Linked DNA regions of Callithrix jacchus. The protein of the gene in region 2 interacts with the protein of the main gene of each other region in a pairwise test. Links are inferred from orthologs where the notes say so. Each region holds a gene or a part of one and is shown on either strand. Other genes may lie near its edges.

Region 1 (7,233 bases), on a different chromosome or scaffold from region 2:
TTGCAACATTGCACTCCAGCATGGGTAAAAGGGTAAGACTCCGTCTCAAAAAAAAAAAAAAAAAAAGTAAAAAGAAAGATATTTAAGCCTCAGTCTGAAGCCCAATGAATTTAGAAGAAAAGACATATATCCTGAGGAATTCAAAGAACCACTGCTGATCATTCCAATTAGTTTCCACTCCAAAAGGCAATTTCCCTGGTATGAGTTATAAACTGTACTGCAAGACCACATTGATAAAAATCAAGTTACCTATTTATAATGTACCAGCCAGGGCAGTTTTCTGGAGGGGATGGAGTAGTGAATTCCCAACATTGGCAGGTAATCCTGCATCTACTTTCATCAGTGGCTCACCTTAGCATGCGTTTTTCCTACCTTGACTTTATCCTGTTTATATCAGGAGCTTGGCTATTGCTACAGGTTTATTTTCAAAGGTGGTTAATGATAATACCTGATGCAAGAGAAAACTTAAAATAATTTCCTTCACCCTCTTCTGCCCATGGTGGCCCTTGGCTTTAGCCTGTAATACTCTACACACACACACACACACACACACACACACACACCAGTTCTGAAAGTTTCCTACAGATTGAAATTTTCACAACAGCTTTTTTTTTTTGGTGGTGGTGGTGGTTGTTGTTGTTAATTCCTAAAATCTAAACTTCTCTTTTTTTATTTCTCCAGATGTCAGCAGTCTATACTAGTTCAACATCTTGATTAGAATCAAGGATTTTAGCTGGGTGCAGTGGCTCATGCCTGTAATCCCAGCATTTGGGGAAGGTGAGGCGGGTAGATCATTTGAGGTCAGGAGTTAAGAGATTAGCCTGGCCAAAATGGGTAAACCCTGTCTCTATTAAAAATACAAAAAAAAAATGAGCCAGACATGGTGGTGCATGCCTGTAATCACAGCTACTCGGGAGGCTGAGGCATGAGAATTGCTTGAATCCAGGAAGTTGGAGGTGGCACTGAGCTGAAATCACGTCACTGCACTCCAGCCTGGGGTGAAAGAGTGAGAGTGAGACCCTGTCTCCAAAAAAAAAAAAAAAAAAAAATCAAGGATTTTCATCCTTATCATAAGAGCAATGTGGGAAACTAATTGTTTTTAATGTAGCGAGATGATACCATCAGATTAGTGTTTCCATAAGGCAGCTCTGGCTGCAGCATTTAGAGGAATACAAGAGTGGATATGAGGCTTTCAGTTAAAGCTTCACTAGACAAAGTAAGTTTGCTCCATAGTAGGAGTAACAGAAATAAAAAGCAGACTTGTAAGATATGTAGAAGATAAAATCTGCAAAAGTTGGTGACGAATTATATATTTTGGAATAAAAAGAGGAATGTGTTAAGGATGACACTGGGATTTTGGCATCTTTAATAGAGGGAAGTTTTTTTTCTTTCTTTCTAGAGATAGCACTGATAAAGGAAAATGTGTAGTGGGGAGAGGAGAAGAAAGTCCTAAGTGTGGTTTTGAACATGTTTCATTTGAAGGGACTTTTAAAATATCAAAAAGGAGATCTCAACACTTCACTTGAACATCCAGTTATAGATCCCAGAGAAATCAGAACTGGGAACATAAATTTATGAGTCACACAGTAGCATAACAGAGTAGGTAAGTATATGGAATGTTCAGCCAGACAACCTGGATTTGGAGCCTGGCTCCATCACTCACAAGCTATATGACCTCTAAAAAGTTTTTTACCCTCTCTGAGCATCAGTTTCTTCATCTGTATATAATAATTCTATTAATCGTTAGGAGTAAACTGATTTTGTAAAAAAATCAGTGCCACGCACATCCTATTATATATGCATTTGGAGGTAAAATAATAGGTGCAGGTGGTAATTCAAGCCAGGAGCATGAATAAAACCACTAAGCGAGACCAGACAGTTTGAGAACAAAAGAGAATCAGTGATCAAGATGTAAAGAACTCCCTTGAAAAGGGAGAGATCTTCGAAAGAGATTGTAATGCACCTCGTAGAGCTCGCTTCAGAATGTATATGACAATAAGCGAGAGGCAAAGCTTCAGGAAAGAGTAGTAAATGAGAAACCTTCAGAGAAGTAGCAACAATAATCGCTGGCCACAGGCAAGCGTCTTAAGTCTTCCCAGGCCACAAGTGTATAATAACAAAAAAGCCCGACGATGTTTTTTAATGCCCTGACGGCAGAGAAAAACTTACACTAGCGGTAGCATAGAAGCAGAAAATTTATGATTGACCCCGGAAACATTTTATTTTGCGTAGGTGTCCGGAGAGCTCTCTTTTGCGATTTGTCGCTTGATCCGGAAGAAAAGATAGCAAACATCACTTGCCATTGGATTGCATCGTAAGGGTGGAACTCTAGCGAACCAGTCACCTTGGCAACCGGACGTGACGACTCCGGAAGACGCCCGACAGAGCTTTCCTTGGCTTTCGGCTTCAGTGGGTGGGGCTGGCACAGCCAGGCTGCCTCTGTCGTCACCACTGACGCGGCCTTGTTGGGGGCGGTGCCACAAAGACCACGCCCCCTGCGCCTGCTCCGGCTGGCTCTGGAGCATTGTCGTAAGCTCTGCAGGGCGGAGACTCGCGCCGATTCTCTCCGAGGGTAGGGCTGCGAGAACGCAAACAAACGCCAGGAGCCTTCCGGTTTCTGGTGGCTGAGCCACCTCTCTCCAAAGCCAGAGAATACACCCTCTCGAGAGCCCGCTGTCGCCCTGCGTTAAGGTCAAACCCCTCAGAATCGCTGCGGGCAACTCCAGCCTAACATTCCCTCGCTCTGGTTCTCGCCCCTTTGAGAAACTCGGCCCCACACTTCCCACTTTCCTGGATGAGGTGTCCCCTTCCTCCCCACTAAAATGTCAAATAACCTACGGAGGGTCTTCCTGAAACCCGCAGAGGAAAATTCAGGCAACGCCTCGCATTGGTAAGTACCGGTTTCGAATCCCTCCCATGCCCGCCCCTCTGTCCGTCTTAGGGATGTGGAGTCGGCCGTCGCTGTGTAGTTAAGAGGATTTGGAGCCCGCAGAGTGCGCCACTCAGGCGGGAAGCACTCCCCACCGCGGCACTTAAAGCCAGTAGAGCGCTTTCCTCTGGGAAACGTAAAACCTCTTTAGAGCCTGACACAGCCCCTCCCCTGGCTCCGCGGGACTCCAGCGTCTCAAGTTTCTTAGGCGGACGGAGTAGATCTCCACGGGAGATGAAATGCAAGATGGCCGACGCCTGTATATGACTCAAACCTTCTGGAAGATTCTTGCGCACACGCAGAAACGCAGCAGTCAGCGCGGATTAGCAAGTGCAGCCCTGGTGGCGCTGGACCTTCAGTGAAAATAGTTACCTTTAATAGTGAGACAGAAAGGATGTATGATTGAAGAAAGATGGCTTTAGAACAAGGAGATTGAATATCTAAAATTTCAAATAGTTTTATATGAAGAGAGAAATAAAAATGGAGAAATCCTCGTGTAAAATCAATCCTTTTGAATAGAGTTTTAGAAGTAGGGTGTAATGAAGAGCCATTTATTGGCTATTTATATTTGACAGGAGGAGAGTCCAGTGTTTCTAAGGAAAATATTCTTGTAAATTAGAAAATAGATTATCAGTAACTTAGTTTATTTTAAAATTTGTATTAAGCGGAAATGCAATGGAAACAATGTTAGCTAAAGCAGAATGTTTTCACTTGTACTCTTACATGGTTGGTGAATGTATCATAGATGATGAGGAAAAAAATAGTCTGCAGACTAATAAAATGAAGAACTAAGACGCAAAACTCACAGAAGGAGATTTCCATTTGAAGAAAATCAGGCTACCTGAGGTTAATCTCAACTTTGCCAGTTAGTATTTGTGAGGCCAAGTACCTGTTTCCAGTCTGTAAATAATAGCACTAAAAGTATTTTAAAGATGAGAATGAAATATGTAAAATATGTAGGAAAATAGTAAAGCACAATTTAAATGTTAGCTGTTACTATTATAAAAGCACAACTCTAACTCTGTACAGATTTTAGCCTAGGAGGTTTCTTTTTTTTTTTTTTTTTTTTTTTTTTTGCGATGGAGTTTCCCTTTTGTTACCCAGGCTGGAGTGCAATGGCGCGATCTCTGCTCACCGCAACCTCCGCCTCCTGGGTTCAGGCAATTCTCCTGCCTCAGCCTCCTGAGTAGCTGGGATTACAGGCATGTGCCACCATGCCCAGCTAATTTTTTGTATTTTTAGTAGAGACGGAGTTTCGCCATATTGACCAGGATGGTCTCAATCTCTTGACCTCGTGATCCACCCGCCTCGGCCTCCCAAAGTGCTGGGATTACAGGCATGAGCCACCGCTCCCGACCTAGGAGGTTTCTTTAATTACAAGTAGATAGTAAACTTAATTGCAATAAAGAACATAAGTAATGGTGACTCCTTAAAAGCATGCACAGTCATATAAAAGGAAATGGCTGCTAATATTAATGAGCTAAAACTCTATTGAAGAACGTCAAGAAAGAACCATTGTATTTCCGATCATAAAAAGAGCCATATTTTGGTATACTCGTGTGTTTTTAATTTTGTGGTCGAAGTTTGGGGGAAGTGACAGAGTGCACTGTGTAGATATGCAAAAGTAGAATTACTTTTTATAATTATTTCTGCTGCTCTGTTTTAGTATGTAAATAATGACATCTGACTTAGCTTAATTTATAGAAAATTTGTTTTAGGATTGCATTTTTAAATATAAAAAGTACTATCAACTTTACTTTGTGTGTGTGTACTTTTAAGTCTGTTACCGTATTTCTAATCCTTTGGGGATTTGGAGACTTTTACAAATTACATTCATAAGTCATTTTGAGTTCATTGACTCATTGATTTATGTATTGTTTTTATTATCTTTGAATATATTTATTTAAATCACTGAGGTTTTACATCATATATTTGTGGCATTTACCAGATGACTTTCTGAAGCTTTGACGTTTACTTTGGTTGACGTTTACTTTGGTTAACGTTTACTTTTGGTTACATATTTGATTTTATTCTGTTTTGTGAGTAACAAAACATCGAAATACAATTTTGTAAATATGATTAACATCAGCCCTTTGAGTTTATTGGAAGCTTAGTTTCCTTATTTTTCTTGTAACATGTTTGATGGTAGTAAATCATTTCTTTTTATAACTTAAATGACTATGATTTTCTTACTGTTTGTAGCTTTAAAGTTTTCCTGTTACTGCTTATTCAAAATTTTTCAGTAGCATAATACAGATTTGTGTATTCTTTGAAGTATCTGTAATTCATCAGAGTATAAAATGTAAAACCCAAATTTAATCTTAGCATACAAAGGAAAAATCTGGAAGATACTCATTTTGATTTGGGTTTTGTTGTGAAAGAACAAAGCAAGAGTCAGAATGCTTCAGTGGAAAGAAGCTTTGAAGTTGTAGAGACTTGGGTTCATATCCTAGCTTACCACTTATCAGTATAGTTTAAACATTTGAATGAAAAAACATTCATTTAGTGCCTACTATGTATGTTATAGACTATGCTAAATGGGAAGACTGATTAAATAATAGGATATGGGCTGTTTCCAGCCTTACAGTCATGATGAAGGAGGAGAGAAGTAGAGTTGATGTGGTAAAGGCAGAGAGTAAACAAAGGGAGTTGGAGGAAAGATTCCAGGAACAGCTGAGTTGGAAGACATAAATATCAGCTATCCAGTTAAAGATGAATGCAGGATATGCTTATGTAGAATACTGGTAAATAAAGCATCTGTATAGTTTATTGCTAATGATTGAATTGTTGCTTGATTCTGTACAAGCAGGATGGGTAGATAGCTCTTAAAGGTTCTGTTTGCCCTGCTAGGGAGATTAGACTTCATCTGTTGGAAATTGTTCAGAGTATTTTAAGAAAAAGACTGACATAGGTGTGCATTTTAGATAACTGACAGCAGTGTGGATTTGAGGGTGAGTGATGAACACAAAGGGATTCTATTTCAGTTGTCTTTTCAGAAATTCTGAAAAGTTCACTAACTGGTGCAGTACAGTAGGGACTGGATTCAAAGAAATACAGAAGGGAAGATAAACCGACTTTGTCAGTGAATTGGCAGGAAGAAAGGGGGGTCAGTTGTGATGCCAGTTTTCTGACTGGTTATTGGTAAATTAACTGAGATGAGGAACACATCAAGATAGCAGTCAGATATTTGGATATGAAACTCAGGCTAAGTCAGAGCTGAGACTAGAGACTTGGGAAGCATCCCCTTAGAGGTACTATAATGAAAGCCTGTGATTATATATTCCACTGTAATAAGAATTAAGATATCATTTGATTGGCCATAGGTGGCTATCTTCACATAACCACTTGTATTCAAATGGGGAGCTAAACTTAAGTGTTCTCAGCAGGGGTTTGGTTTGATTAGAATGATGATGCCTCATTGTCAATTCAGTATGCATTTTGTTGTGTACAGTGTTTTATTTTGTGATTTGTATGAGTGCATCTGTATGTTTGTGTGAGGGAGAGACAGGCACACGTACTACAGTCTGAATGAAATCTGTCATTAATCTCTCAGTTTCTACATTTGAATTTTTTGGACCCTGTTATTATGGGGTTTTGCTAAAGTAAATAGAAAAAGTAGATAAAATTTCTCAAGGGGAGTGTGTAATTCTAAGTAAGTTATTAAATATTTCTAAATCTCCATTTTCTCAAGTATAAAATGGGAATGCAATTCATAACTTGTCGGACTGTTTATCAGGATTAGAATTAGTAACAACTGTTATTAACTATCACATACGCAATTCGTGGTACGTATTGGATAGATTGTTACGTTGCATACTTACATATATTATGTTCTGTATATACATAATATTATAGATTGTAAGATCAAATAGTAAGATAGAAAAGGATTTCCTAGCAGGTAAAAAAAATGAATTTTGTAAAAATATCTACAAAACATTAACTGGCCATCAACATTTTTACTAGTTTATTTCTGATATGTGAATGCCTCATATCAATATTAGAATAGTAAAAACTGTCAGAAGCTATGTAACATTACCAATATGTTTAATGTGCCCTTTTACTAAATTTCTCATTACATTTTTAAAGACCTTACCTTTATTCTCAAAAACCAATTGCATATTTAATGGAAGATGATAACTATTAGGCTCCCAGGCAGTCATTTCATTTATTTCTCATAGCAAGCCTTTTCCCCGCCATTTAACATTTAACAAATGAACAAACAGATTCCAAGAGGATAAGTAAATTTTCCAGTCAACTTGTAAGAACCAGAATTAGAAGCCCGTAATCTTTCTAATATGTTCCTC
Region 2 (6,568 bases):
GCCAAAGAAATCCTACCCGCAGTCTGCATGGGGCTAGTGTGCGGCTAGCTTGCATCCCACAGCCTCTGGCGGAGCTGTAGTGGCTTCTGGCACATTGCTTGGATAGGATAAGGGCATATGCCTGCTAGTTAATGACATATAAGTAACTTGTGAAAATACAGTAAGAAATGTCTCATAAAGCTTAGTGCTTAAAGCTCACCCTCCTTCTGTACCCAAATGAAAGTTATCAGCCCATCAATGACCTAGTTAAGCCATGAAAGAGTGACAAGCACATTCCAGATAATGTGTTAATAAAAACATTTCAACTATAAACATTTCCAAAAAGGTTTTAAAACAGAGCACCTCTGAGGATTTCCCTTTAAGTAAGTCACCATCATCTGCATTATAGAGGCTTAGGGGAAGGTTTAGGGGTGCAGTCACAGGAACTCAGGACATCTCAGCCACCTGTGACTTGAAGCACAGAGCAGGCCAAGTCCCTTGCTGCGTGCAGTTTGGGAGAGCTGTGGCCACAAAGCTGTGTAGTGGGACAGTCTGCATCATCAAACTTCTAGTGAGCATTGCCTGCTCCCCAACAGGGGGGCATCCCAGGCCCAGAAGCTTCAGCATGTGTCTGAACTGAAGGTTGGTGGTGGGTCTGCTGGAAGGCCAACTTTGCCTGCAGACAAAATGGTTCTTCTCTAATTGAGATGGGGGCTTTGGGGCCATTGGGACTGACCTAATAAAGCAAAGTGAGGCTGTATCATAAGTCGAAAAGGCAGTTTCCTGAAATTGAATACCTTAAAAATGTGAGCAGAGTAGAACAGCCCCAGGGGTTGTCAATCATCCCTCTTGGTCCAGGCTGGCTCAGGAGGGACGGGAAATGCACCCACCCCCAACCCAAATCCAGGAGTATCCAGTAGTGGCTTTCCTCTGGGACGAGGGGCTGAGGCGTCAGGTCTAGCCCTTGTTTTCTCTTGCCTGGCATGTGGGCAGAGTTCTAGTGTTATGAATTGGAGGGGTGGGGTGCCAGCATGTTAAGTAAATCTTATTTCCAGCATTGCCTGGGGACCTGGAACTAATACATTTAAGAATCTTCCCATTTTCCTGGGAACAGAGGTACATATTAAACTATGTTTAATAGTTGTAAGAGTAATACCTGTATTCTAATCACTTAAAATTAACATATTTTATCTAATCAAGGCATGTAGTCATTTTATACACCAAGAAAGAAAGAAAAAAAATTAGCGAAGAAACGTAGCAAAATGCCGCCTGTCCCCGCTCCCCCTTACTCCCGCCCCAACTCGCCGTCCTTACGAGACACCTTCTGGAGTTCAGAAACGCTACAGCAAGCTCTTGCTTTTTAAAATCCTGGAAGCGAGGGGCTTTTGCAGCTCTCCTCCGCGGGGAAGCCGCTGGGAGGCGCAAGAAGCCAGCTTCTCACTTTGGCAAAAGTGCCTGCCCCCAAGCGCAGAATGAAAACTTCCCCGCAAGTTCAGAAGTACTTTGTACATTAACCACCCACCTGAGAAAGCCTGAATGAAAGGAACAAAGCCTCGCCGTTGTTTACTTTCCCATTATCGCCCTAGTCTTGCTGCAGGGCCAGGGTTTCCATCGAATCCGCCCGGCCCGCCATTCTCCCAGCCAGTTTCCCAGGCCTCACCCCAAAAAGGGGAGCAATGAGGTGACCCCTGGAGCGCCCATCCACGTAGCTCAGAAAGGTACAGACACCAAAAGTGCTGCGCTCAGTGGGTGAACCCTCTGAAAGTGCCAGCGTGTATGGTCAAGCGACAGCAACCTCTAGCCTGTTAAACTCTCCCAAGATTTCTTCCAGACTTACTCTATTGCCGGAAAAAAAAGAATTTTTACATATGCGTATTTAAGTAATTAAAGTATTTCAGCACAGCGTAAGACAAACAGGCTCTTACTCCATCAGCACTGGATGGGAATCTCCTTTCGCCCTCTACTCCCCGCAGTTACTTTGGATGCGATTTGCGGCCCTTAATCGGGTTCCTGTTAATGTTGGACAGGGCTCAGTGGGCCTGGCCGGGCAGCTCCGTGTCCGCCCCCCACCCACCGCTCTTCTCCCGCGCCAGGCCAACGGAAGGGTGTGTGTGTTGGGGAGAGGGGAGGAGAAAAGGGGTTTTAGGATCTTTCGAGCTTGCCTGTAGATGGCGCCCCGGGAAAGAGATTCTGGCCGCGGGGTTCCGGCCAGAGGGCGTCCAGCCTTGTAGACCGCGCACCAGCTCCCAGTCCTTCCCAACTAGCGCGACTGCTGGGCACCCGTGCGAGAAACGGGTGGAAGGGAATTACATGTAGCAGGGCCAATACGGGGGCGCGCACTCAGGGACCACGGAGTGGCACGCAGCCTCGACCCCACGCGCCGGGCAGCCCGGCGACCCCCACGCGCGGCGGGGGCCTGCCCGCCCCACCAGGCAGCAGGTGGACAGTGTTGCTATGAAGAGAAAGCCTGGATTGTCCCTACTGCAAACCGCCACACGCCAGACCTCTGCTATTGTGCGCCCTCCATAGAAATGCAAACGAGCGGCGTGCGCCGGCCGCAATCTGCTCGCCCCCGCCCGCCCCCCTCTCCGGCGCCCAGCGGTGCTCGGCCAAGGGCGGGGAGGTGGGGTAGGAGCTTCCAGCGACAACTCAATGTATACATTGAGTGTGCGTGGGAGGCATCGTCGGCGCTCTCCGGACGCTAGTGGTCAGCTGCAAGGGGCTGTGCCCACTGCCTTTTGCAAGCCCCTAACTGGCACTGCTTTTACCTTAATTTCCGGCTCCAATGCAACAGTTTCATAAACTTCAAATTAAAGGAAAGAAACAAATAGAAAGGTAGCAATAAAAATAAATGCCAAAAAAATTCCTTTTGATTCTATAAAGGTGCTTTTCGCAAATTGCAGCAACCTATTAGCAAACAAGGTTTTTGTGGGTTGGTTTTTTTTTTTTTTTTCTTTTTCCTTTTAAGGACTTCAAAAAAAAAAAAAAAAAGGCGAGATGAAATCTGCAGGCTCTAGTCTGCCTGGTAACACCCCAACAAAAGCGGCAGATTTGAGGCATTGTCATCCCCCGCACCCCTCCCCACGTGGCCTTCTGGCACGAGCCGCCGGCCCGCCGCCTCATTTACATCAGAAAGCGGGTGCCGGCCAATAGGCGCACAGCCTCGCGCCAGCTGGCGGCGCAGCACCCTCCAGCCTATATAAGGGCGCGCGGCGTAGCAGGGGCGCAGTCGCTAGTGGTAGATGAGCCGAGCCGAGATCTAACTCACCGTGTGTTCTCCCGTGCCCCCTCCGCGCTCTCCGCTTGTGGATAACTTGCTGCTGGTCGATCGCGCTATGACTCTGGAAGAAGTCCGTGGCCAGGACACAGTTCCGGAAAGCACAGCCAGGTGGGTCTCAGGGCTGGGAGAAAGCGGCTGGTCGGTCGGCGGCCTTCAGGGCCCTCCAGGGTGGGAGTAGGAGCCTGGGGTATCGGCGTAGGAGCCGAGCGCTGGGGTATCGGCGGCAGATCCAGGTTGGAGAGGTTGGGTGCGGGCGCCGAGCCGGGTCTGGAGTGTAGTTGGAGTGCCACGGGTGCGTCCGGGTGCGTCCGGGTGACCGGGGCTGGGGGCTCCTACCCCGACCGGCTCCGGCTCACTGTGCTGGCTCCTCCGCAGGATGCAGGGTGCCGGGAAAGCGCTGCACGAGTTGCTGCTGTCGGCCCAGCGCCAGGGCTGCCTCACTGCCGGCGTCTACGAGTCAGCCAAAGTCCTGAACGTGTAAGTGTAGACACTGCCAAGGCTGGGATACCGGGGCGGGGGTGAATGACTAGGAGACGGGCGGATGGGAGGGGTGGCGGCGGGAGACCTCTGCTCGCGGTTTCTGACCTTGGTCCCCACCTTGCTGCCCTCGCAGGGACCCCGACAATGTGACCTTCTGTGTGCTGGCTGCGGATGAGGAGGACGAGGGCGACATCGCGCTGCAGATCCATTTTACGCTGATCCAGGCGTTCTGCTGCGAGAACGACATCGACATCGTGCGCGTGGGCGATGTGCAGCGGCTGGCGGCTATCGTGGGCGCCGGCGAGGAGGCGGGCGCGCCGGGCGACCTGCACTGCATCCTCATTTCGGTGAGTAGAGTCCCGTCCCGTCCCCGCCCGGGTGTCGTTCCCGCCTCGGCCGGCTGCCAGCCAGGCTGACCCTGCTCTCTCTCCGCAGAACCCCAATGAGGACGCCTGGAAGGACCCCGCTTTGGAGAAGCTCAGCCTGTTTTGCGAGGAGAGCCGCAGCGTTAACGACTGGGTGCCCAGCATCACCCTCCCCGAGTGACGGCCCGGTGGGGACCTTGGTCTGATCGACGTGGTGACGCCCCGGGGCGCCTAGAGCGCGGCTGGCTCTGTGGAGGGGCCCTCGGAGGGTGCCCGAGTGCGGCGTGGAGACTGGCAGGCGGGGGGGGGCGCCTGGAGAGCGAGGAGGTGCGGCCTCCCGAGGAGGGGCCCAGCAGCGGCTGGGCCAGGCTGGCCCGAGCTGAGGACTCTGCAAGTGCATGGAGCGGGCTGCTCGCCCAGGAAGGCCTAGGCTGGGACGTTGGCTGCAGGGCCGGGAAGGACAGACTGGCCGGGCAGGCGTGACTCAGCAGCCTGCGCTCGCAGGAAGGAGCGGCGCCCTGGACTTGGTACAGTTGCAGGAGCGTGAAGGACTTAGCCGACTGCGCTGCTTTTTCAAAAACGGATCCGGGCAATGCTTCGTTTTCTAAAGGATGCTGCTGTTGAAGCTTTGAATTTACAATAAACTCTTTGAAACAAACTTATGCTCTTTATTGAGGGTAGGGGATCTTTGTGTCGGGGGAGGTGGTGAGCAGGGTTTCAGAGGATTGCTGGAACTTCGTGGAACTAATGGCACCTGTTCCGTCTTCCTGTCGGCAAGAATGACAGGCTCGTCGGCGCTGGCAGAGGAAGGGCATGCTGCCCACTGCTAGGGTAGAGCTTGGGCCCAGCTCCTACTTTTCTCCTTTTAGGTAGATTCTAAACTTGCAAAACAGGAGCGTATTTTAGATAAGACATCAGTGCAGCAACTAAAGCCTCGCCTTCCAAAGCGATAACAGTGACCTCTGCCTCCCCTCCCCCTCCCTCGGTCCCCCTCCCCCTCCCTCCCACAGCTGCTTATCTGAACAGCTTGCTGGAGGCCGCAGGCTTTCCTGCACAATGAGCATTGCCTTCTGCAGACCCTGCCCTTTGTGGTCCCTGAGGACGGTGGCAGGCTGCTCCTGCTCTTGGGGACTTTTTCCTGTTAAATGCTCTGACACAAAGCAATGCTACAAAGGTATTAATACCAAATATGACATTGATGACTGCATTTAAGTATGAGTCATTACTTTGTCGTGGCTGTGATAGAACTTGGAAGATCTGAGAAAAAATTGGAAGGCAGCATCTATATAAATAGGCATGAGCAATTCTGAGGGGGCCTGGCATCTGCCATCTACTATTTTGAATGTCCTCTGCCCACATCTGAGTTATAAGGATTGCTGCTATTCACAATTCCACTTAAAGACTCACAGGAAAGAAAAAATGAAATATTTTACGCCAAGACTTTCTTTAGAAGGATCTAGGGGCAAATCTCCTGATGGAATCAATCTTTTTGTTAGACCAATATGACTTGAGTTCATTCCGTGCCTGACTAGCCGCTTTCAGCAGGAGAAATACATGTGGGCTGTTGTGCTGTCAGCTCGGCTGCCAAGCAGGCTGAGCCTTCTGGGCAAAGGAGGTGTGGTGTGCCGTCTTCACTCCTTGGGGTGGCTGATTTACCTCATGAAGTGCCGCTGCCTCAAATTCTCTCCAAATTAGGAGCATTCTTGAGGTAGCAGGAAAACTTGACTGAATTACTTTTCTTGTAATGAAAGTATCCATGTATCAGCTCTTAAAAGCATCTACTCCTCAATGAGACGGAAGCCCAGATAAAAAACTCAGTTGTGTTTGTGCCCAATTTTCATTACTATTTTACCTATTTGCTGCTTGAATCTCAAAGTTTTCTTATTGAGGTAGAGTCTTGGGCTGGGCCTGTCTAACAGTCTGTATTCTGGCAAAATGACCAGAACATGCCATTATAAACACAAAGTGGACATGATTAAAATGGACCCTTAAATTAGTAAATTCAGCAGAACATTGCGCAGAGCAGGTAGGCAGACCCTCCTGCTGGCCAAGCGACCCTTGTAGAACATGAGGTTGGCAGCCCTTGGCTTTTTGATCAGAGCTTGCTGTGAGGCCACTTGTTGGAGTCTCAAGGGCTAGGAGAATTTGCAGGGGAAGAAATGCATGGTGGGACACAGCGCCGTGCCCAAAAGTGCTAAACTTTTTTTTTTTTTTTCGGATGAACAGGTGTTTAATGCTATTAACATGAACTAATACAGAGAGCAGATAATAAAATATCCAGTGTTTACAAACATGTAATTGCATTTAATGCTTCCAACAACCCTATATGTGATAATGCATATATAAGCCCTTGGTACATGGTCATTATTACTACAAGTATGTTGAGGTGACCATAAAGACAAGTGCAATGCCTCGCATCTAGAAAACACTGCATGAATGTTCATGATGATAATACTTAAAAGCT
Region 3 (7,301 bases), about 100 Mb from region 2:
TGCCAGAATCCCAGGTGCAGGGAGACCCTTTCCCTGAACCAAATTTTAGCCTTTGTGATGCAGAAGCACAATTTAGAAGGTAGGAAATCATACAGGTACTTAAAATCCTTAGGCAGACGAAGCCCATCCAACAGCCTGTAAGAGCATAGGCACCACAGGCTGGAGAAGTCATCAGTTTTCCGCATCAGCCAGGGCCAGGCTGACTTCTCAGCCTACGAGGCCCTGAGCGGGAGTGAAGGCTTCTCTGGGGAGTTTCTCCTATAAACACTGACAGCTTTGATGTTGGAGGAGCCTCGCCATCTAGGGAGTGCCAGGAGGCTTCTGTGGAAGCACTGCCCAGTGCCAACTCACTCCCCTGGTGCAAATGAAACGGATGCAGGCCAGAGCCCCAAGGAGCTCACACCGGGCAGACACCCACAGCCCTGGTCCCAACAGCACCCAGCAGAACCGCATGTGACCCCTTTACCTTCACGGCTTGATTCTTGGTGTTGACGGGAGAGTTCCTCAAGGCTGCGTGGAATGCCCGAAGCATGTCCCCTGTGATGGCCATGAGTTAAGGATGGCTAGGCTCAAGCACGTCCACACTCTCATTAACAAGCTCACTTCAGAAACAGCTCAGGGAACAGAGTCAGACAGGATCTCATCCATACCACCCACTTTCCACAGCTTCCAGGAGGGCAGGTGTTTACAGCCCGCGGAGGGTGCAGGGCACCTCTGCCAACCGTGCAAACCCTCCTTCTTCCTCCTTCTCCACCTTCCCCCTCAAAGCAACTGCCCTGGAGGGGGAGCTTGCTGTAAAACCATTGTGTGCTCACTTGCACCTGCCTGGTGCTGGGCACGGTATCGCCCCTACCGGATCCTCACAGCAACCGTACATGTGAACTGGGGATTGTTCCCATTCTAAAAAAGGGAAAAGGAGACCTCCTAACTTTTCATCAATGCTCTTTATCAATTAAACTATAAAGGAAATTAAACTGTTCTAAAACTTCTAACAGCCATCGAGATCAGTGAGGTCCCAACTGTTTCCAGGAAAGAGTTTATCATCTAAAAGAAGCTTTTGCCAACAATGAACCAATCTCTACCCCTCCCCACAACCTCAGCTGCAGTCCTGACAATAAATTCTTTGCTGAGTTCTGAATACCCAGCATGCAAAAGAAAATTACAATCTGGGTTAGGTCCCCAAAGGTGACACCTATTTTAAACTAAATTACATCAGCCAACTTTCATTTCCTCATGTGAAACACTGGCTTCAGCCAAAAAGCTTCAAAAATAGAACAAGGAATGGCTTCTGCCCAATCGGGTCTCTACTCCTCTTCATGCAGTGATACCCACGTGCAGGCAGGAAGGGCCTTCGGAGCAGAGCTGAATCTCCTGGCTTCCCCAGTGTGAGCTCCATCTTGTGTGATCTGGGTCCAAGCCACCAGGCAAGCCACTCCCAGCCCTGGTTCCCCAGCTCCCTGCTTGGCTCTGATCCACCTTCCACACTCGAGAGGCGGCTGGGAGTGTCTTTCAGCTCTGGAGTTCCTTTTCCCCATCCAAACAAGGCCAGCCTGATATCAGCCACGGACAACCTCTACCTTGCAACTCTTTTCTAATGTGGTGTCCCCAAGCAAGAAGCAGGATCCCAGAGGCCGAACAGGAAACATAGGCTTGCTTGCTCTTCATGTAAACCTGGCACAACGGACAAACAAAATCATTCTGATGATGGATGGGGAAGGGCAGGGATAAAACTAGTCCACGGGGGCAGAAAGCCACTGCTGTGGAATTAACGCTCAGCACAGCGTGTCCAGCAATCACTCGGCCCATTGATGGGTGAGGGCCTTCAGCAGCTGGGAGATCTGGGGCGCAGGGAGGGCCTCCCTGAAATCACCTATCATTCCTGAAGCCAGTGCTCATACTTGGCTGGCTTTAGGCCCTTTGAGAGAACAAGCTGTGGTGCTGGCGGAACCCTGCCCAGCCCTTGGTCTCCTCTAGATCTTCCTCAATCACAGCACAACTGACACTGTGGACCCAGGATTCTCTGATGCGGGATCTTTGCTGCGTGTCATAGGCCTCTGCCTACTGGATTCCAGTGGCAAACCCAAGCTGAAACCATCAAAATGTATCGCTCAAAACCACTGCTCTAGACAGATCGCTGATCCAGAGGTCTAGAAGCGGCTTCACTGAGAAGGAAAGGAACTAATACTTTTAAATCGCCACAATGTCTCGGATCCTGTGCCAGGTGCTTTCACACGCCACCTCATTCCAAACTCCCTGTGACAATAATCATTACCTCATTTTAAAGGCAATGGAACTGAGGCTCAGAAAACGGAAACTACCTGCCCAAGGTCACAAAACTAAGCTATTTACACGGCCCTCACACCCAAGCTCTTCCCGCAATCCCGTGCCGCCAATCTATCTGCAGATCTGAGCATGTCTGGGACACTTGCTGTGTGCCCAGTGATGCTGTTAGCCCACGAGGCTCCCACGGAACCTAGGAAGCTAGCATGGCTGTCTGCCACATAACAGAGGAGGATGCTGAGTTGTGAGAGGGCATGTGACCTATCCGAGGTCACACAGTCAGAGCATGATAGTGCTGGGTGTGTGCCCATGCCTAGCAGGGTTCCTTCTACTCCATCTTCGTGATCTCCTGCCACACACACTTCCCTTTATAGCCCCAGGACAGGGCCCCTCTCTGCCCTTCCCCACCCCAATCCATCCACCCGTCTCTCTGCTCCCGTCCTCAGACATTCAGAAGTTCCTACTTTAAATTCAGTGGTCTAATGTAAGCCCAATTCTTGGCACATGATAGAGACTCAAATATGAGTTCCATTCTCCTCCCTACCTTGGCCCTGTATTTGAAAGGGTTTCAGTTCTCTTCATCTGCTAACCTCCCTTTCCTCAGCCCCAAGTGGAACACTCTCCTTGGTAACAAGGTTTCTGACGCTGCTATGAATGGAGAAACGACCATCCTGGGATGTGCCGAGCCCAGGCCTCTAAGCAGCCTCAAGGAACCTGTCACCAGGCAGGGGAGTCCCAAGACATGACCTTCAACAAGCCTCTGCACCCAGAGCAAAGCAGCAGCTGACAGGCGTGGTCTCCTCATCTGTTCAGTCAGGGTCCTTGGCCAAAGGCCTGACCTTGAAGCCCTTGCAGCACTGACTGTCATGAACCAGGACCTGAACCAGACTACAACCAACCTTCCCTTCTGGGGACCCTTCCCTTGACCCCATTTTACAGGTAGGGTAGACTGGAAGATCCTGATGGGGCAGGAACTACAAGCTGGAATCTCCACTTATGAAAACACAGTCCGGTTCAAACCAAGTCTGAAGGTTTTCGTTTTAAAGGCACACTGAGGAGCACTGCTGGGCTCCCCTCAAGCAGCAGGCCCCACTTTCCAAGCTGAGTCAAATGGCTCAACACCGAGAACGTGACTTATGTACAGCAGGGGCCTCCAACCCTGCCCCGGCCAGTGCAGGGGGAGGGGACACGCTTCCTGGAACAGCGTTTGAATAAAGACAAATCCTTCCGGTGAGAGAATAAGTCAGTTTCCTGCGCTCATGCTGCTAAGGGACCAAGCAAGGCTGTGACTATTACCTCTATTTTTAATCTTTTCTAAATGCTGTTTTCTGTGGCCACAGTAACAGTCATTTCCAGGCGTGGGGCTCCACTTTCACACTTCACTTTCAGGTGTCTGGTTTTCTTAGCTCTGAACTCTAGTTTTTTCTGCTGCTTCCTGAACCAGAAGGGTACCGAGGGGAGCCAAGACTACCTTGTTGAGCGTGGCTGAGACCACCAAGGTGTCCAGAGGAACCACAGGGTCCCCCTTTCTCAGCATTAGAGGGAGGATCAGACTGACTGGGGGAGGAGGAGCACCTGACCCCAGGGCTGAGCTACGGCGGCCGCCTCCACTCTCTCCTGGGTCCTGTCTTCCCCACCGCCGTCCACCCACCTATCTTCACGCCATGGGGCAGCCCAGTCACGGAAAGCCCCGGAGGACCGCGCCCCAGCCTCCCTGACCACTCGGTTACTCAGATGCGGCTCACCTCCGCCCTGCTGCCGACCCAGCCCCGCCACAAGCCCGATTTCCTGCAAGGGAGGGACGGGGGTGCTGGGGCTCCCAGGAAGGGACAGCAGGAGGGGATGAGGAGGCAACGGGGAAAGAGGGCGCAGGGCAGCCGAGGGAGGCGGTCCACCAGGTCCAGGGACCTGCGGGGCTGCGCTGCCGAGGAAGGCGCCAGGGCCGGGGATGAGGGACCCAGGGAGACCCGGACTCAGGGAAGCATGGCCTAGGGGAGCCGGGTTGGCAGGGAGTAGGAGGCCGACCCGTGGGAGCCAGGGGTAGGGGATAGAGGAGGTCCGCCCGGAAGGGGTCAGGAAGGTGGGCAAGGAGAAAGGCTGCGCGCAGGCCCGGCCGCTGCGCCAGGGAAGGATATTGCCGCAGAAGCCCGTCCACCTCGCTCGGGTCCGGGCCTGGCTCCGCTGCCGCCGCCGCCGCCTCCTCCTGCTCGTCCACAAATTTGTTCTCGTCAAATTCGTCTATGTCCACCCGGCGGAAGCGCGAGGACAGGGTGTTCCGGGCCATGGCGGGAGCTCGGCGCCCGCTCAGCCGGCTCCCCTCGCGGCCCGACCTCCGCTCCGCTCGCGCCGGCTCAGGCTCGGGGGCGGGAAGCGGCCGCCCGGCTCCTCCAGCACCTCCTCCACCGCCTACGCGCGTAGCCGCCGCCGCCCGCCCACTTCCGGCCCACGCCGGATCCGGAAGCGCTGTCAGGGGCGGGGCGGAGCTCGGCTCCTGAAGGGTGTTGGAGGGTCTCCGCGACCTTCCCAACCGCAGTGTACCTTCTGCCCTGCCTCAGTTTTCCCGCTGGGGAGCAGGCGTCCGGTATCCATGCAGGCCCTGCATCGTGTGCGCCGTAACTGCGCTCGTTCTCCGGGTTTCCCGCGCCTCCGAGGAGCCCCTGCCTCAGCAAGGCCCGGCGCGGGCTGCCGGGCTGAGATCTGCCCCGACTGGGGAACACTGAGCTCCTGGGAGAAGGCTCGCGGCTCTACTTCTCGAGTCCCGGACAAGCTTCTTGGAGAAGAAACCTTCGAGCTGATGTCTGAGGGATGAGTAGGAGTTCCTGGGCCCGGGAAGTGACCGGGAGGGGTCTGTGTCTCGGAGCCTTGAACGCCACCACACTTAGCCCGAGGAGGCCGCCTGTACACAAAAGTGACTCTGTTAAAGGAGTGGGAGACTTTAAAGACGTTTAGGGCCGGGCGCGGTGGCTCACGCCTGTAATCCCAACACTTTGGGAGGCCGAGGCGGGTGGATGAGGTCGGGAGTTCGAGATCAGCCTAACATGGAGAAACCCCACCTCTACTAAAAATAAAAAATTAGTCGGGCGTGGTGGCACATGCCTGTAATCCCAGCTACTTGGGATTCTGAGGCAGGAGAATCGCTTGAACCCGGGAAGCGGAGGTTGCACTGAGCCGAGATCGCGCTTTTGCACTCCAGCCTGGGCGACAAGAGCAAAACTCCGTCTCAAAAATAAACTAATAAAGACATTTAGTGTGTCCAGGGGACTGACAAGATGCTGAAGACGTTTTTGCCACCCTACGTGTGTAGCAGTCACCTTGGCCAGGCAGTTGGGGGTGGCCAGGAGAGGGAGATGGCCCTGTGGCCACCGTCCTGGCAGGAGAGGCCTGGCTGGAGAGAGATACCTTGATATACGCCAAATTCTCAGAATCTGAGTTCGGGGAAGGGGGTTAGGGAAGTCAGCGATGACTGAGGTGCCAGATTTGGTACCTGGACTGTTACCCCAGGGATTCTGTTAATTGATCTTAGCCTTAGGGTAAAATGGGTCTTTTTATATAATAGTATGAAAACTATTTTTGTCTAATAGTACTCTTTATAATAAAGGTCAGTAGTTGGAATGCGATTCATTTTTACTGCTTTGAATAATTCTCATTGAACTGTGTCTATAGATCAAAAAAATATTGCCAGACTATGATGCAACCTAATCTTGGGTGGTAAGGATACAGACTCCGATAGTGGGAAACTAGTGCTGAAGAAGTCTCCTCTGGTAATCCCAGCACTTTGGGAGGCCAAATTGGGCAGATCACCTGAGGTCAGAAGTTCGAGACCAGCCTGACCAACATGGTGAAACACCTTCTCTACTAAAAATACAAAAATTAGCTGGGCAAGATGGCGCTAACCTGTAGTCCCAGCTACTCAGGAGGCTGAGGCAGGAGAATCGCTTGAACCCAGGAAGCAGAGGTTGCAGCGAGCCAAAATTGTGCCACTGCACTTCAGCCTGGGCGACAAGAGCAAGACTCTGTCTTAAAAATGAAAAAAAAAAAGAGGTGTCCCTGAGGAGGTGATGCTGAAGAGAGACTGAAAGGAAATGAAGGAGGCAACTAAGCGAAGGCTCAGAGATTGGGGTGGGCTCAGTATATTCCAGAAACAGCCAGGAACTGAAGAAACATGAGATGGGGGTTGGGAAGAGGGTAGAGCTCTGTAGGCTGAGGAAAGGACTCAGTATTAATTCAAATGGGACAGCTCTGGAAATTCTGAGCAGAGCAGTGATATAATAATCAGATATCTGAATTGTTTGAAAAGGGCCTTCTAAGCAGCTGTATTGAGAACACATCTAGGATCAAGAACCAACGTAGGTGATTTAAATGGTGACACCAGCCGTCCTGGGGATAGACAGTGGTAGCCCAAGCCAGGTGGTGGGGGGCCAATGAGGACGGTGGGAACAAGTTGGGTAAATTTTGGTTTGAAACAGAGTTTTGCTCTTTCACCCAGGCTGGAGTGAAGTGGCACAGTCTTGGCTCACTGCAACTTCTGCCCCAAGGATTCAAGTGATTCTCCTGCCATAGCCATCTGAGTAGCTGTGATTATAGGCATACGGCACTATGCCCAGCTATTTTTTTTTTTTTTTTTTGTATTTTTAGTAGAGACAAGGTTTTGCCATGTTGGCAGGCTGGTCTCGAACTCCTGACCTCAGGTGATCCACCCACCTTGGCCTCCCAAAGTGATAGGATAATAGGCATGAACCACCGCACCTGACCTCCAGCTGGGTAAAATTTGAAGTTAGAGTACGCCGGCTTTGCTGGTTGACTATATGTGGTGTGTAAGAGAAAGAGTCACAAATGACTTGAGGTTCAAAAAAGATGTGCAGAGCCCTTAACACGATTATAAGCATTTGGAAAATATAAGAGCAAAGCCACCCTGCACCATTAGACTTTCATTTAAAACTAAGCCATGCTGACCAGGTGTGGTAGTTCACGCCTGCAATCCCAGCACTTTGGGTGGCTGCGACAGGCAGGTCACTTGAGGT
Region 4 (7,422 bases), on a different chromosome or scaffold from region 2:
GCTGCACTTTGGGAGGCTGAGGTGGGTGGATCACTTGAGGTCAGGAGTTCGAGATGAGCCAAACCAACATATAGTAAAACTCCATCTCTACTAAAGATATAAAAACTAGCCAGGCATGGTGGCACACGCCTGTAGTTCCAGCTACTTGGAAGGCTGAGGCAGGAGAATCACTTGAACCCAGGAGGTGGAGGTTGCAATCAGACAAGATCACACCACTGTACACCAGCCTGGGGTACAGAGTGAGAGTCCATCTCAAAAAAAAAAAAAAAAAAAAGACTTCCCATGTAATTCCTTTTAAATCTCCTCCAACAGACCTGTAAGCTTTTATGTTAAACTTTTCCAAAACACTTGGTAAATCTTATGAATGGAAAAAAATGGGGAAAAGATTTAAATTTTTTTTTTTTGGAGACAGTCTCGCTCCGTTGACCGGGCTGGAGTGCAGGAGCGCAACCTCGGCTCACTACCACCTCTGCCTCCCAGGTTCAAGCAATTCTCTGCCTCAGCCTCCCGAGTAGCACGGCTTAAGAACAAGTTGCAGTCATAATACCCCTTTACTCGTTAATACTTCAGAATATATTTCCTAGGAGGAAGATTATTCTTTCTCCGCCACCAAGCCCAGCTAATTTTTGTATTTTTAGTAAAGATGGGGTTTCACCATCTTGCCCAGGCTGGTCTTGAACTCCTGACCTCGTGATCCACCCACCTCAGCCTCCCAAAGTGTTGGGATTACAAGTATGAGCCACTGCGAAGGCAGAAACAGTCTGTACCTAAAAGTACTGCCTCTATATGTAAGAAAGCAACTATAATATACTTTATAAAAATGATGAGAATAAAATCATCTATTTCTAAATTACATGGAAATCAAAAAGGCTCTTCGAGTAACTAAAATATTTTCCTGTTTAAATACAGGTATGATTTAACTGGGTTTTACTGCTCAGTCTCACAATGGGAATACTGTACAAGTTGTAAAAAAAGGAACTTAGTAAACAAGAGATTATCACAAAGTGATACATAATTACTTTTATGTAATTAAACAAAAATTAATTTTATATAACAAAAAGTTAAAGTTTTAAAAGTTACTTTAACCACATATAATAATATAAATATCTCCAAAAAAAGAAATTTATACTTTTTTTCAAATTTATTAATTTTTTTCCCCCTGTTTTGACTTCCTGCCTTCTTTTCCACCTTTACTGGGGTATAATTGACAGTTAAAAATTCTAAGGCTGTGCATGGTTGCTCATGCCCGTAATCCCAGCACTTTGAGAAGCCAACGGGGATGCACTGATTGAGCCCAGAAGTTTAAGACCTACAAGGGCAACATAGTGAGACCCTGTCTCTAGAAAATATTTAAAAATTAGCCATGCATGGTGGCACATGCCTGTAGTCCCAGCTACTGGGGAGGCTGCAGTGGGAGGATCACCTGAGCCCAAGAGGCTATGGTTGCAGTGAATGAAGATCGTGCCACTGCACTTCAGCCCGGGCCAAAGTAAGGTGCTATCTCCAAAAAAAAACCAAAATACCTGTGTGTGTGTGTGTGTGTGTGTGTGTATATATATATAATAAACACTGTGACACTTTGATATATACTGTGAAATGATTACCACTATCAAGTTAATTAACATATCCATTACCTCACACAGTTAGCCTCTTTTTTTTTTTTGAGTCAGGGTCTCTGTTGCCCAGGCTAGAGTGCACTGCCGCCTCAAACTTCTAGGTTCAAATAGTCCTCCTGCCCCAGCCCGTCCGGAGCAGCTAGGCGCACGCCATCATGCCCAGCTAATTGTGGTAAAAACATGTAAGACCTGTCTATTTAGCAAATTTCAAGTGTAAAGTTTCTGAACTTATCAAGCTCTGTACACTGAAATACCCTTTAACCGCTTAACTCTCTTATGCCTTATTTCAGAAGTCTTTTCACTTCACAGCCCCAAAAGTTGCCTGGCCCATAGGAAACACCCACCAAATCAGGTATACTACATGAACCAGAAAAAAACAAGAACTTATTTAAACTATTAACTAAATTAGTAGTTGACAAGGACCTAAATATATCTGGTCTTTTATTACTGAGATAATAATTAGGCCAGGATTTTGCCTAATATTTCAAGATAATCAATATGTATTCATTATTTATTATGGCTGTATTAATGACCACTGTAAGTCGGATACTATCAACACAAAATAAGGTACAGTTCCTATCCTCAAGAAACTCAGGCCTGTATAAGGGATAGAGATGTAAACAAATAAAATGTAATCATGCTATAACAAATATATGTAAAAGGTTTGGGAAAGCAGACACCACGTTTCTTGTTCACTACTAATACATGCTAGAACACAGCAGATGCTCAATAAAAATTTCATAATGTTAGTCACCAATTCGGCTTGAGAGAAAAATCAGAATGTGTTCACAGGAAAGAATCAACTTGAGCTAAGTCTTAAAGAAAATTGTCGTTCAGGCCAGGCGCAGTGGCTCACACCTGTAATCTCAGCACTTTGGGAGGCCGAGGCGGGAGGGTTGCTTGAGCTGGCAGTTTAAGACCAGCCTGGGCAACATGGCAAAACCCTGTCTCTACAAAATATTTTTAAAACATTAGCCAGGCATGGGGGCACACACCTGCAGTCCCAGCCACTCAGGAGGCTGAGGAAGGAGAACGGCTTGAGCCCAGGAGGCAGAGGTTTTGCAGTGAGCTGAGATCATGCCACTGCACTCCAGCCTGTGTGACAGAGGGAGACTCTGTCTCAAAAACAAAAAAAAAAGAAAGAAAAGAAAATTTAGTTCAGCAGATGGGTAATGAGGACACCAATTTAGAAGCAACTCCACACCTTCTGTATCACTATGCCCTTTATTCAATTACAGCCAGATGTCTTAAATTTCTGAAGATCACAGTAGATACTATGGTAGTTTTAAAATATATCCACAAATCACTTGAGACTCCTCCCTCCAAAGGGTGGGATATAATTTCCTTCCCCTTCAATGTGAGGCAGGTTTTTTTGTTGTTGTTGGTTTTTGTTTGTTAGTTTTTCCATTTTTGTCTGAGGAAGTGAGGCAGTTAACTGCCTCCCTTCTAACAAATACAATGTGACAAAAATGACAGTGTCTGATGTCTGAGATTAGGACATAATGAGATTATGGTTTCCTCCTTGCACTCTTGCACATTCTCTCTGTCCGAAGGATGCCAGATGCTACACCCAAGGGCACGTAAGCAGCACAAGAAGTCCATGTGGACAGAAACAGAGAGCCAGTTGCACACAAAAGGCCCAAACGGTCAACAGCTGTGGATCCTTCCACCTCAATCTAGGTTTCAGAATCAAGGTTTCAGGAGATTGCCATTTGGAATTATTAACCAGCTAAGCCCTTCCCAGATTCCTTAATCACAGAAATATAAGATATAGAATAATGGATAAAAGGGGACAAAAGGAGATTTTGTTTTGTTGTGAAATGAGGAATAACTTGTCCAAGTTAATACGCTGACAAAAGGGGACTGTGAAAATATATGTATATAGATGTACAAGATTTACTAATAGATAACAAGCTCCCATTCTGTGCAAAGTGTTACAGTTAAAACAAAGATACCGTCTCTATCTTCAAGTCTAGTAGAGGAAACAAATATAAACTAAATGAAAATATATTCCAGCATATAACACATGAGTAAATATCAGGTACACAATTCTTGAGTATGTGGCATGTCTAATATTAGCTAATGTTTAATGTTTCTTGTGTTTTAAGTCATGCTTACCTGATTACTAATATTAGTATTTCTCTTAATGGGACATAAAAGTGAAGGCCTTTGGAATCCAGATTTTTAGGGTAGATCTAGCACCATCACAAAACCTCCAGCTAAATTTTCACATGTAATTCTTAGGGACTGTTTTCTTGCGCATAACCATGGCTAAATAATTTTGTTCTCTCCCTTTCACCTACTTACATTGCAGAGAACTTACATTTAAAGGCCAACATCACGGGTGAAGATGAATTAACATCCTTCCCTTCTCTTCTTTGGTTATGTGGGAAATTGTCATGCTTCCTTTTCCTGAACCCTCCTGATCCTTATGTGGAGAAGAAAAAAAGTTAGAGAAATCTTCCATCACCAAGAGTTTGCAAAACAGAACGTCGGCAAACCTCCACCTCCCTTTAAAACCAGATACCCACAGGGCCCTCGACTTAAGAGGCTTTCTCCGCAGACTGAGAGAGATGCTGCCCAGGCCTTTCCAAGCAAACCATCCAAGCCTCCACCAAGTGGTGCTTTGGTCTGGCATTACAGTAATTACTGAACTAGCATAAAATTACACCTCGAAGATTTAACAAAAAGGGAGGTGTAAACAGGGACAATCCGGCCGGGGAGAGAACCAGGGCTGCCGTCCCCGAGTCTGCAAGGGACGAAGGCATCCTCCAAGGGTGAAAAGGGGAAAATCGCCTAAAAAGATTGGAGAACCTCCCCCTCTGGATAAATAACGCCCCATGTTGTTGAGGACGCCACCTTCTTTGTTGCTCATGTCGTCACAGCCTACAGTGAGACAAGCGGAGACTGAAGGACCTGGAGCGAGAGGACGGCGCAAAGTGCAGGCCGACCGAACCCAGAAAAACAGCTAGCGGAGGCGCCCTTTGCAGCCTGGCCGACTACTACTCAGTGGCCGGAAGTAGCCCCTCGCCTACTTCCGGCCTGCGTCCGGGGTCCCACCGCCTCTGGCTCCGCCCCCCGCGTGGTCGGGGGACCCCGCGCGCGCGTGCTTTCGCGGCCGCCCTCTGCTGTGCCTGAAGACACAAAAGCGACTCTACACACCTCACGGCATGCACTATTAATAAAAAGACGATGCGACCTCCTGGAGCTGAGATCTGTGTGATCGTGGGAAAGCGACAAAAACGTTCGTAATTATTTTCTGAAGGCACCTTCGGGACACTTACCCTTCCCTCAGCGGGGGCCCAACTTCGCGCGCGGTGCATCGTAGGGGTTGTAGTTCGTCCGCGGGAGCGGGCCCTCTGGAGCCCCAGCCAGAGGTGTGAGAAAGAAGCGAGCCCTCGAGTTCCTCGGGGCATCTGGGAAGGTCTTTTCAGGATCCAGGCAGAAATTTACAGAGCTAGGAGTTTATTTTAACTTTCCCAGGCGCTTTAAGGGATGGAGATATGCGAGTCATTCAGTGGATGGTGCTAGTACTGTTTTCTCTCGTGAAGGCCTGCCCTTCGAGTCTCTTCCCACCTTTTCCCCTGCCCGTCTCCCACCTTCTCCCTTCTCCACCGACCTCTGTACCCTCCTCCCCACTGGCTCGCAGAAGCCAAACAGCCTGTGTTCAGTTTGCCTCCACAGAGTGGTTGGGCGACCTTGATGAAGTAAGCAACCTCTGTGCCTCAGTTTCCTTATCTGTAACATAGGGATAGAATAGTACCCGCCTAATAGGGTTATTTGAGGATGAAAGGAGTTAAGGCTCGTGAAGACGTTCTTTCACATATAAATGCTCAATTAAATATTAGATGCCGTACTCCTCTTCCATCAGGGCTCTCTCAGACAATACGACAGAGAGAAAGGTAAAAGCAGGTGTGTTCCACTAAACTGTGGGCCTTTCATTATGGGCAGGTACTGTGTCATATCTAGACTTTGTGCCCACCCTAGCCCCAGTGCTTCTCAGCGCTGTGATCCTGCGCCTTGTAAGCCTCTATCAATGTTTCTTGAAGAATCATGTTTCTGGCATCAGGATGGGTAAGTAGGTGGCAGTTCAGCACCCCCTAGAGAGAAACTCAGGCCAAGGTTTGGTAAGTGGGGTGCCCTAGGCCTAGTAGAGAAAACACAAGTACATTTTAAGCTTTCTCCAAATAATCTGTATATTGTAGTCATGTGTTGTACACACAGTCTTTTCTTCTTGTAATTTAGGAACAAAGGAACAGTAAATGAAATAACTTGGCTAGAATATGGCAGTAACTACAAGGCACAGTCTGCTGTGGCAGGAAGGTCACCACCACTCATACCTCTGCAGCTCTGTGAATACATGAATTAACTGAACAGATTCCTTGAGGATAAAGTAGGCTCCTGGGGCCCCTGCTTGTTGGACTACTTGCTTTGCGGATGTTGAACAGATAATTCTCATGAGTTTGAGTGACGTCTGATCTACCGGTATTCCCCCTACTCTGATTAGAAATCACTTGACCATGCAAAAAAAAAAAAAATAAGGCAGCTCTGATACAAATTTAGCCATTTTAATGTGACTCCCTCTAGATCAAGGAAGCCAGTACTTATGAACACTTTCAGAGTCAATTCTTACTTTACTGTATCATAGTCGGAGAAAGGGGTATTTTTTTTAACTCTCCTGGAATAGCAAGATCTCAACTTTCCAAAACCGGAATCAACTATATTTCTTTTCTTTCTCCAGCCACTACTCCCCTAGCCTGTTCAACTACAGCTATGTTACCTGAACTGCTTTCCACTCTTTACCATAATTGTAATGATTAGAACACTAAGTTTCACAACCTATAAAGACTTCTGAAAGTATTTAAGGGAGGTGAATCCCAGGATCACTTTCCCAGCACTTATTTGCATATGCGTTTACCCCAGGCTCCCCCAGGTGTCCCAACTCGTAGCTACTCCTTCCTCGGGAAATAGATTTCAACGTCCGTAGCAACCTGCATCCCTTCTCTGTCTCCTTGTTTTATTGCTTCAGATTCAAACACATAGTTTTGGTACTTGGCAAATGGTTTTTGGTTTGTTTTTTAAAGGAAGACTACCACCCCAACTCAGGGAGAGGAAGGTAAAGATTTTTAGTAAGATTTCACCTCTGATGTTGTTTTTACTTGTTACTGTTGCTATTTTTTTTTTTTTTTTCCAAGATACGGTTTCACTCTGTCACCCAGTACGAAGTACATGGCTCCCTCACTACAGCCTCGACTCCCCGGGCTCAAGTGATCCTCTGACTATGGCGGCATGCTACTAAGCCAGGCTATTTTTTTGTTTTCTGTATTTTGTGGAGACAATGGGGATTCGCCATGTTGCCCAGGCTAGTCTCAAAATCCTGGGCAAGTGATCCACCTGCCTAGGCTTCCCAAAGTGCTGGGATTACAGTGAGCCACTGTGCCTGGCCTCCTGTTGCATTCTAATTGCCTGTATTTGACTCTGAATAAAGCACTAAGCCTTTCAATTGCACTGTTGTTACTCAGTTCATAAATCCTCTCATTGGTCACCCTTAGATTAAAATCACATATCTAAACTGGTTTGAGAAGCCAAGGCAGGTGGATCATTTGAGGTCAGGAGTTCAAGACCAGCCTGGCTAACATGGTGAAACGCTGTATCTACTAAAAAGTACAAAAATGGCCTGAGCATGGTGGCATGCACCTGTAATCGCCAGAGGCTGAGGCAGGAGAATTGCTTAAACCCAGGAGGCAGAGGTTGCAGTAAGCCGACACTGTGCCACTGACCTCCAGCCTGGGCCACAGAGCAAGAC

Evidence for each region.
Region 1: the proteins of GADD45G (region 2) and LRIF1 interact in binary tests that used the Homo sapiens proteins (3 or more experiments, as listed by UniProt). The link is inferred for Callithrix jacchus from reciprocal best matches to the Homo sapiens genes GADD45G and LRIF1.
Region 3: the proteins of GADD45G (region 2) and ARPC5L interact in binary tests that used the Homo sapiens proteins (3 or more experiments, as listed by UniProt). The link is inferred for Callithrix jacchus from reciprocal best matches to the Homo sapiens genes GADD45G and ARPC5L.
Region 4: the proteins of GADD45G (region 2) and TSNAX interact in binary tests that used the Homo sapiens proteins (3 or more experiments, as listed by UniProt). The two-hybrid records come from large-scale screens. The link is inferred for Callithrix jacchus from reciprocal best matches to the Homo sapiens genes GADD45G and TSNAX.

The regions. Positions count from the first base shown.
Region 1 is NC_133508.1:148,885,810-148,893,042, reverse strand, and holds the start of LRIF1 (ligand-dependent nuclear receptor-interacting factor 1), read left to right. Parts: upstream 1-2,588; 5' UTR 2,589-2,822; coding exon 2,823-2,890; coding exon of another isoform or gene 2,891-3,056; intron 3,057-7,233. Other genes in the region: uncharacterized protein LOC144577208, read right to left, coding at 2,220-2,578, 2,839-3,056. UniProt on the Homo sapiens protein: Together with SMCHD1, involved in chromosome X inactivation in females by promoting the compaction of heterochromatin.
Region 2 is NC_133502.1:73,440,125-73,446,692, forward strand, and holds GADD45G (growth arrest and DNA damage-inducible protein GADD45 gamma), read left to right. Parts: upstream 1-3,204; 5' UTR 3,205-3,314; coding exon 3,315-3,367; exon of another isoform or gene 3,368-3,634; coding exon 3,635-3,736; intron 3,737-3,872; coding exon 3,873-4,086; intron 4,087-4,174; coding exon 4,175-4,285; 3' UTR 4,286-4,762; downstream 4,763-6,568. UniProt on the Homo sapiens protein: Involved in the regulation of growth and apoptosis. Mediates activation of stress-responsive MTK1/MEKK4 MAPKKK.
Region 3 is NC_133502.1:173,462,185-173,469,485, reverse strand, and holds the start of ARPC5L (actin-related protein 2/3 complex subunit 5-like protein), read right to left. Parts: upstream 4,646-7,301; 5' UTR 4,565-4,645; coding exon 4,416-4,564; intron 540-4,415; coding exon 467-539; intron 1-466. UniProt on the Homo sapiens protein: May function as component of the Arp2/3 complex which is involved in regulation of actin polymerization and together with an activating nucleation-promoting factor (NPF) mediates the formation of branched actin networks.
Region 4 is NC_133520.1:53,367,945-53,375,366, forward strand, and holds the start of TSNAX (translin-associated protein X), read right to left. Parts: upstream 4,646-7,422; 5' UTR 4,492-4,645; coding exon 4,476-4,491; intron 4,045-4,475; coding exon 3,940-4,044; intron 1-3,939.